Drosophila melanogaster: one gene and its partner. The protein of the gene in region 2 interacts with the protein of the main gene of each other region in a pairwise test. Each region holds a gene or a part of one and is shown on either strand. Other genes may lie near its edges.

What was found.
Region 1: the proteins of out (region 2) and Bsg interact in a two-hybrid assay, tested with the Drosophila melanogaster proteins (one large-scale study listed by BioGRID).

Annotation. Positions count from the first base shown.
Region 1 is NT_033779.5:8,086,480-8,091,435, forward strand, and holds the start of Bsg (basigin), read left to right. Parts: upstream 1-1,824; 5' UTR 1,825-2,037; intron 2,038-2,130; exon of another isoform or gene 2,131-2,226; intron 2,227-2,623; exon of another isoform or gene 2,624-2,914; 5' UTR 2,915-3,184; coding exon 3,185-3,257; intron 3,258-4,956.
Region 2 is NC_004354.4:19,318,901-19,323,976, forward strand, and holds the start of out (outsiders), read right to left. Parts: upstream 3,207-5,076; 5' UTR 2,756-3,206; intron 1-2,755.

The DNA of each region.
Region 1 (4,956 bases), on a different chromosome or scaffold from region 2:
ACTGGCAAGAACTTTGGAAAATTTGTCAATTATTAGTACTTCTATTGTCAACTACAAGTCCTATGACTCTTCTTGCTTCTTTATTATTTATGAACTCATTGCAAGCATTGCAAAATGTTCTCTATGGTTTGGTTGTTGGAAACACCTCATCAAATACTATATACCCCCCTGATCGCTTTAATCTCAGCGGGCAATGCGAACAGCTGATTTCATATTTGCTCTCGCAAATTTGTAAAAATAAATACGGCTGACCAATAATAAATGCGACGAGACAACCCCCCTCGATGCCGCCAACCCGCAAAAAACCCCTACCTTTCCAACACCCATGCCGAATTAGCAAAGTTCCCTGCCTTCCGAAAAGATGGAGATCTACATTCGTGTGCGAACCGCATAGAACCGCCCGAAACCAGAGCGGCAGTGCGAGCGGGACGGCAATGGACCAGAGGCGGTCAGTTTGGACGGTCTGGTGGTCTGGGTCTTTGGGACTCGGCGACTGGGCCGCGGACATCTGACGTCGTTGTCGACCATGCTCCGGCTACGGTATTATATCATGTGGCCAAGACGTTGGTGTGGTTTTTGGTTGCGGTAGTATTGGTGTTGGTGATACGGACGGACGGACGGAGTCCCGTATTTGTTCAAAGTACTGCATTGGGGCTTTATCTTAATGCGATAGAATGAGAGTCGGATTCGTGACACGTTACGGAAACATTTCAACTGGCGTTCTATCTGCTCTGCTGAGGGCCGCACGTCGTCTGGCGGTAAACAAAAAATCCAGCGCACTATGATTTAGCGTTGTCCGTTCGACGGTTTTATTGCCAAAAGTTTGAGAATTTATTTTGACTAGTTTTTTTTGAGCTGTTTCCTTGTATAACACAATTGCTTTCAAAAATGTTTACGTGTTTTATGGCTTTTATTTTGGGGGGAAATAGAAACGAGTAAGAATTTTAATTCTTATGTAAGGTTTATTATTTTAGCTGTTTTTCAAACATTGATGCCTTTCGTCAGTTGAGGAATTTTAAAGCTAATGTTCATGGATAATGAAATCGGCCAGCTCTGGTGATAGCTTCTACCCTTTTTTTTTTCTTATCTATTCTGCTTACTCGGTGACTGTCCTCCCGCATTGATAAGAGTGGGAATAGTTGTTTTCTCGACACATCCGCAATACGAAATTCTAGAAGTAATAATAGATCTCGGGCCAATTGTTATCAGCTTTTATGCGGACGTCATGCGGTGAAGCAAATGGAATGCTATTTTTCTTCGATCGTCAAATAATTGGTCGTAATTACTCGCAGACTCTGTCACTTGGTGATTTTTGTTGAATCATTGCTCGATTGCAATTTGTTTGATACTGTTCCTTAAGTGCTTCTATAGGCTGAGAGAAAAGTGAATAAAAGTAGCGTACTTTCAGGCCCATACGAGCACAAGTACATTGTAATTCCGTCAATTTGGGAAATTCCTATTGAACTGTAAGATAAGGTTTCCAAGAGCAAATATTGATTAATAACTCAATTTATGGTTTTAAAATTTTTTTTAAGTTTCTAGCTAATTTAGTAGCTTGAAGTCAGACCTAGCTTCTGCATTTTGTTTTAAATAAAACAGGTGATTTCAAATTCCTAAAGATTCCTGTATAATGAAAAAATGTCGTTTAAACTCGATTTATTTTTCGCCATTTTGTACAGTACTCGTAATCGGTCTGGTCAAGATAACGGCCGAACTATTTAGATAAGCTGACAAGTGTATGTCAAACTGAACCCAAATCACTGTGCGTCGACGTCGCTGCCGCAGCGAAGGCGGCTACTCTCGTCCGTTGGTCATGTGTGCGATTCAGTCTGCTCGCTGAATTCGCCGCGTTCGCTCTGTTCGCTCTGTTCTGTTTGCCTCGTTTTGGCCCGTCCGTTTGCCAAATTTCGTTTGCTTTTTGTGTTCCCGTTGTGCAAGAACAGCCAAACAGAAACAACAACTACACTAGTACAAGTACGTGCAGCAACAACAATGGCCATTGGCTAAAAAGCAGCTAGAAATTGTTGCGCTCCTTGTGTAAAACATAATTATTTGCTCTCAGTCTCAAGAATCCCTCACTCTCTTTCTCTTGCTTTCACTCTATCTCCCTCTCTTTTGCTCGTTGGCTAGCCAGAAAAATAGTATTTTCGTCGTCAACGTGCCATAATTTCTTTTTTCTGCTTAGCCAGCAAAAAAATAGAACTTTTGGACTGGGAAAAGTTAGATGTGCGTTTGTGTGAGTGCGTGTGAAAAAAGAACTGCAAAAGTTAACGTTAAATTAGCGGGCTAAAAGAAAAACCCAACCACCCGCCGCCCCACTTATGTGAACAGCACGTGCTTAGCTGCAGTGAAAATAAAACAAAAAAAAATTAAATGTGACATTTGAAAAATTATACATTTAGCTGAATGTTGAATGTTGTTCGTTCGGCTTTCGTTTTGATTTTGATCTTTTCGATTTGTTTTTGTATCCTTGATTCCGCTCCTCTCCACAATCTCTTCTTAATTTGAATATTGATGTATAATTTTAAAAAGTTTTCTCTCACTCGTCTTTCCTTTTGCCTTTGTTGTTGGAAAAAAGCATACAAATAAAACCGAACGAAAAACACAACAAAAAGAATACGGGGAAGCGCACGAAAAGTTTGCCTTCATACGAAAATAAATGCAAAATGAGAAATTTTCTTAAATATTTTTATTTGCGAATATAGCTTCATGAATTAAGAACAAAATAGGAAAGCTGGAAGAGCCAAAAAATAGAAAAATTCGCACTCAAGCAAAACACCAAACGGAAGATCCAAAGCAAACAACCAACCAACAACATCAACAGCATCAACTAATATCAAATTAAATAACTAAGCCTAATAACGTATACATTTAAAGATCTATTTATAAATTAATATTTACCATAATGATTTAGTAAGTTAAGCTTAAAGTACAAAAAAAAAAAAATAAGAAAAGCAAAGAAAAAGAAACACCACAACCAACAACAACATCAACAACCAACCAACCAACAGCCACAAATAATTAATCAATCATTAAACGGAGTAAATTCACAAATCTGTAATAAATGCAAATGACAAGGAAATAACGAAAACGACAACAACAACAAGTCACCGCCAACAACAACAACCACACATCGGCAGCATAATTAACAACAACCAACAACAACAACGGATCAATACCAAAGATGGAGGCAAAATTCTTGGCTAGCGCTCTTTCATTCCTCTCGATATTTTTAGCGATTTATGCTCAATCACTTGGTGAGTACAGCCCCCCGAAAAAACCCCTCTAAATCTAAAAGAATGAACCCCCTACAATAAGCATAATGATAAACAAAGAAGGCCCTTTTAACCTATAAGTTGTACCCCGCCCATAAAATCACCCTGCCCCAACCACACACCCACCCATACACACATATAATATTAACACACCTATGTACGTAGCAGCCCAGTATAAAGGAATACAAAAAATATACATACATATGTATATGGGGGAAAGTATGGTTAAACTGCAGCTGTGATAGCAGAAATTGCAAAACAGAACACAACCGAACCGAACAAAGCAAAACAAAGAGGTGGAGCAAGAGGAGGAAGGGAATAAATAAAAAACAGCAGATTGTTTGTGGCTTACTGTAACACCCACTAACCTTATCCCACGCCCCCTAATTGCCCCGCCACCCAAAACAAAAGTGCACCCACCAAAGGGCGAGGGTGTTCGTCCACCCACCACCTGACTTTTACCCCTTCCAAGTTCACCCTAAAGCCAGACCCTAGCCGCAATAATGGAAACAAACAGTATTAATACGAGGCGACTTAAATCAATGGTAAAGTTATCGGAGAAATGTATCGATAATTCTTCAAATTAGGGGATCTCAGAAAGGGGCACTTTGCTGGTCCTTTAGCCACAAGACACAAATGGGTTTTACCAGCGATATTCGAAAATATTAATATATTTGAGTCCGCGCTTTTAAAAATGAAACTTTTATTTCGTTCACGTTCTCGTCTTTGAATAGAACCACAAAATGGACAATCACATTTCTTTTTTGCCCGGCTTTATGTATTCTCTTTTCATATTGCACGGGACACCATCCACCCACCAGCCACCCACGAGCCACCCACCATCCATTTTCCAACTTTGGACAAGGTCTCTGTGCTGCATTCTACTGTTTTGCCCTCTAGTTAAGCGGACTTCGATATTTTCGTGTTGCTTTTATAGTTCATATTGTTGGGTCGGTTGGATGGACTTGGGATTGGATTGCAGTGCTGCCATATTGACATTGTTGCTTATGTTTTTTCCCCCTGCCGTTTTCGTCGTAGGTTTTCCGTCGCTTTTCCACTGTTCGCGCGACCGCATTTCATTTGATTTTCAATTTTCCACACAATTGCTGAAAGAGAACAGCGGCGAATGTCGGAAAAAAAAAGCAGAGGAGCAGAAGCAGAAGCAGACGCAAAAGCAGAGTATCAAGTTCATTTCGGTTCTAGTGAGGGCTATCTTTAAGAATTTTTGTTTAGCCTTAAGAAGACTATTTTACATGCGGTCCAATAATTACGGCCTGTCTCTGGTTTTCCCCGCTTGTTTATATTAACTTTAGCCGACCCAAAGCGAAGCGGACCAGAACGAATCGATTTACCGATTAACCGATACGTGCCCGATACGTACCCGATACGAACCGGCAACGGTGGCCTGCATTTTGTTTACATATGGAACTGGGCAGCCCCGCCTCGCACCTTCCACCTTCCTTGGGGATTTGTCTATGATGCCCGCGCGGGCGGTTCCATCTATTTATTATTCTATGCATACTATCCATTTACCTATTCTACTTTATTCCATACATCCATCTATCTACATATCTATCCGTCCGTCCGTCTGAATATCTGAATGTCCGTCTGGCTCTGGCTCACTACCAAAACCTACGTATGTTCATGAATTTTGATTTTTTTTTTCGCTAAACTGAACGTT
Region 2 (5,076 bases):
CGGGCGTCATGCTCGCTTTCAATAGGGACTAGAAATGGCTATTAATACTCCAGCGGGCCTGGACAAAGTTATCATTCATGTGCTGGCTGCCAGCACTCAATTGCATCGGAGATTATGAGCAACGTGTTTGGTGTTTGCTATTTTAAGGCGCATTTCGAATGATTGTTATTGCCCGAAGGCCTGAAGGCCTGAAGGCCCCTCACCCGGCCACAAAATAATCCCAACACCCGGCACATTCTCACATGTGTGTTTTGTGTGTTCTCTGCGATTCTCGAAGTGAAAATGGTATAGTAGGGATTTGGGTTAGGGAATGGGAAATGGAAATAGGAGTGGGTAGCCCAATGGAATAGGAATACGAACGGGAATGGGAATGGGAATGTCAATCTCCGGCGCAATCCCCATACCATGTCCATGTCGCTTTCCTATGCAAAGCGTTTAATGCACATTTCAGACCATTTCTAGGCACTTCTCCCCTCCTCTCCTCTCGACCCTGCTCTTCACTTCACTTCTTTTATTTTATTATATTTTTTGTTTAATTTTGTTTTTTGTTTTCGATCTTGTGTGTTGTTCGAGTCTCTGATTTTTGTGCTCAGCCAAATAAACTCACGTACTTCAAGCCGACTCCCACCAAGTGGTGCCTTCCGTGAACTGAAGTGGTGGCCCGAGAGGAGTGCACTGCGGTGCACTGGAGAAACCCAAAACCAATCCCAGAAATTCTCTTGGGCAAACTGGCCAATGGTTCCAGTTTCAGTCCCCAAATGCTAATGCCACTTGGGTGTGCTGTCAAACAAGACAAGTGGCTGACACACGATCTACGCGGAGGAGGCGGAGTTGGGTTCAACTAAGATAAAAAATGACAATTCAATAATGAAAATGCATGGTTATAAGCAAAATGCTTATCTACATAAATTATTGATTGGCTTTGTTTTTGGCGGCAAGAAATTAGTGCACACCTGAATGTTGATAAATAAAACTATTGATATAATATCATATCATAATCATATTGCTTTGTTAATTCCCCATTTTTTTTTTTCTGAATATTCATTGTGAAGTGTCAGAAGGCAAAATAACACTTCTAAGTTTTTCATTGAAAAACCCCTCTAACTATCTACGAGTATCTGACATATAACAGTCTGCCTTTTTTTTAGGCTTATCACCCCTTGAGATTCTGGACTTATGTACAGACCTTTGCACCGCCTCCTTGTCCATTGCAAATTTGCGAAAGGTGGATAGACCATTATACATCATCATCATCATCGCACAAACACGTAAGCAGTAGGCTTAGAACTGTTGATTCAATTGAGAATCAAACTAAATGCGAAATTTACCATCAATTTTCCAGATGAATGCGCACGAATGTGCTTCCATATGAAGGCCAAAATGTGGGGGCGCACAGGTGATTCCATTGTTTACCCCATTGCGAAATGCAACAGGTTATCTGGTGGGGAGTTAAGTCGGAATTTCAGACAGAGCATTTCACTTCTGAGCCGATTGCAAATACTATGGAAACCTTGGCAACCAGCAATGGTTATCAACGGCCAACAATATTTGGTTGCTCTTGAATGCCTCGGATGCCTTTTAATCAAATAATCGGTCAATTATAATCCAGGACTCTAGTTAAATCGGTATGTTTTCATAATTAAGCGCTTATGTTTGCTTATGCATTCATGCTCATTTTGGTGCACACCAAAGGATTTACAAAGTATTTTTTACCATAAAGTTGCAAAAAGCAGTAGTGATTACAAAACAGATTATAGATTATGTGCCTATATATATATATATATAGAATACACATTTATAAGTTGAACATGTACATATTCAATGCAGCACTTACATATTGAAATGTGACTTGCAGTGTGGGAAAAATACAGTCTCCTTGATTCAGAATATGCAATTTGGTGCTGTTAAAGCTTTCGATTACTTTCTACAATTAACCTAATTTACTGGTCCACCCTAATGGCGGCGCCATAAATGCATTCCCGCTCTCGAAAACGTGGACTCCTTCCATTCCGGCTTCGGCACCCGGACACACGGATTTCCAGATTCAGGACAGCACCTGAGGCCTGTCAGGCGGCGGGGTGGCGGTGGCTTTGAGGAAGGGGGAAGAGCAAGGCACCAGCACATCATAAAAATGTGTAATTCAATTTGGTAAACATTTTCTGCTCCCCGTCGATGGTTAGATGAAAAAAAAATGCACATGAAAAATGCTGAAACCTTTGGCAAAACTCAATTTGGTTCCGGGATCAGATCAGACTGGGCAGGGGATTATGGTTTGGACTAGACGGATTCCACCCACCATGTGAACTAATCACTTGGCCAGTGGTTATTATGGAAACTTCAGCTAATTCTTAAACTCAATTTGGGTTCTCACACTCTCTCACAGAGAGAGAGAGAGAGAGAAATCCTATAAGGTTTAATTCACGAATTTCCAAATCACACGTTTTTAATGCCTTCTAATTACGGTTTATGCTCAAAAGCAAAGCTTCTGAAAATCCCCTACCCCCAAAACAGTGGGCTACATTTGTCTTGGGCATAGTTTGAAAATTTCACAAAATCTTATTAATCTTCTTAATCTTCTTATATTGAATCACAAATAACAGTCACACATCACGTAAATTAAAAGCATGATTACTTTCTTAAAACGCGTTCCTATCGGTATAGTACATATGTATATTTGCAAATGCAATAAATTCTTGTTCAGTTCTTTTGCCACACTTAACTAACATCTTCACTTGTTGATCGACACGAGACTTACGGTGGTAACTTGTTGCCAATTTGCCTTCGGGTGTGTTGGAAATCACAGGTTAGCCAGATGTCTTGATGATCTGCTAATTCTAGCACTTTTCCCCCTGCGCTGTGTGCAGCACAGAGATTTCAAAAATATATGCACAGTAACAAAAAGAGAGTTCAAATACGACGACGAAACACGACGGATACGGATAACAAACAGCAAGTGCCGCAGAACGGAACAGCGTTAAAAAACAGCGTGTGGCTCAGCTGTTCTCTTCGGACGGCACACAATAATATTTGTACTGCTGCTGCTGCTGCTGCGCTTGGTGTTTCTAACAAACAATAACTCTTTCGTGGTAGCCAACTTCTTCTTTCGCTCCGTGTACGTCCGCTCGTTGGTGTGTTTACTGTTACGCGGCCAGCAGTCGACTTGCTGCTATTCCACTGCTGCGGTCTGCTTTATAGCATTCTCTACGCCAAAGCAAAGCAAAGTCACTGGCAAAGCAAAACGGCGGAACGAGAGCGAGATGGTCGGAGAGAGCTGGCCCGTACACTGAGAGAAATTTGCATTGGGCAAGCAAGAGAGAATGTAAATCTCTTGACCAAGGATCACATTACACATCACATGCTTGGCATGCTAGCAAATTCCCAATTTTATTTATTTTATATAATTACGTTGTTAAGCATAAGCTTATGAATGTTTCGGTTCTGAAATTCGTTAGCTTAAGTCCCTGGTACAAATTTGTAATTAACCGAAATTAATAAAATTTTTTTTTGCTCTGTACCGCCGGCGGAAGGCGGGAAGAGTGTGAACTTCTCTCTTCGTGCGTGGGCAGCGCCAGGATAGACGACGATGCACCGTAAGTGCAGCAGGAATCGCGGCAGAGGATGCAATGCAGCATTTAGCCATCCCAATTAGCAGTTGCCGGGCAATAGCCTTCCCTCTCTCTCCACCTGTCTCTTTCTCTGTCTCTCTGTCTTGGCCTGGGCGACCCCTCTCTATCGCACTCTCACAAGACCGGCTCAACAGTGGGCTGTGATGTGATTTGGCAAATGTGTTTACACCATCATGATGACGACGTAGAACTTGGACTGTTGAATAGATCCGCTCAGAGATCTTATTGCACTGAACAAAAATTCCGTTTCTTTTGACATGTTTTTGTTTAGCTTTGAGCTGAACACGTTTCTAAATTAATAAGAAATATAATAGAAATTATTATGCTTAACTAATTTTGGAAAAAGGCAAAATTATTGGCTCAAATTAATACAAAAATATAATAAGAATAAGAATAATTATCTGCGTTCAGAAATCATCTTATGGGAAAAAAGAGAGAGCTACAAACAGACAGAGAGAGAGAGAGAGACAGAGAGTAAGGGGAAAATAGATCTTTATAGAGCCGCTCTATGGCCGACCAACTGTTGCCACTTGCCGGCCACACAGCAAGTTCAAAGGTCGCAGGCCAGGTAGACAGTAGCCACTAATTGGTTGGTAGACAAATACCCATACACAGAGAACAATTTTGAACTTCGGTGCTGATGAATACAAAAAAATAAAAATGTATGCACAAACATATGCAAATGAATTTATAATTCATACCTGATATCTATTGCATATTTAGGTCCTTTAAAACATAAAAACATTAATGAACTCATGATTAACCAAAGTTAACTGTGTAGCAAAATTTGGTTGGGCTAGATTAAGTATTGAGTCCTCACTCGTAGCAACCCCTAAGAGGTTTTCTAGGGTTAACCACAATTAACGATCGTTTGGTCGCTCGTAAAAAAAAAGAACAATTACGATTTTATCCCTTCCTGTAATATTTTAAGGATTCCGTATATCCTATTTCTCATTTTTACGACGGCAATAAAGTAATTATGTAAACCATTTACCTTAATCCCCATCAATTTAAAGAAAAGAAAATCCAAGCTTTCGATCATTTATCAATTAGTAATGAGCCAGCCATCCTTCATTTGTCAATCCTTGCGGTCCCATCAATAAGTTACCAAGTGCACAGCGAATTAATTAATCTGACTCACGGTTCTATTTCGGTTTCACCGCATTGCTCCACTGTGCACTCTGCCCACTCTCTCTCTCTCTTTCTGGCTCGCCCGCGCTCTCTCACCCAACTCCCACTAGTTCTCCCCACATGAAAACTCCTTAGATACGACGACACAAGTAAGTCGTTTGTTCCGGCGGCAACCTATCGCCCCTGTCACCTTAACCTTGCACTTGGAGAAAGTGTGATGGCCAATGGAATATAGCATTGCTAGTTTTTGTTTTTAATAATTTATTCGGCATTATTAAATAATATAAACGATACATCAACAGTCCATCGGTTCTTGGGT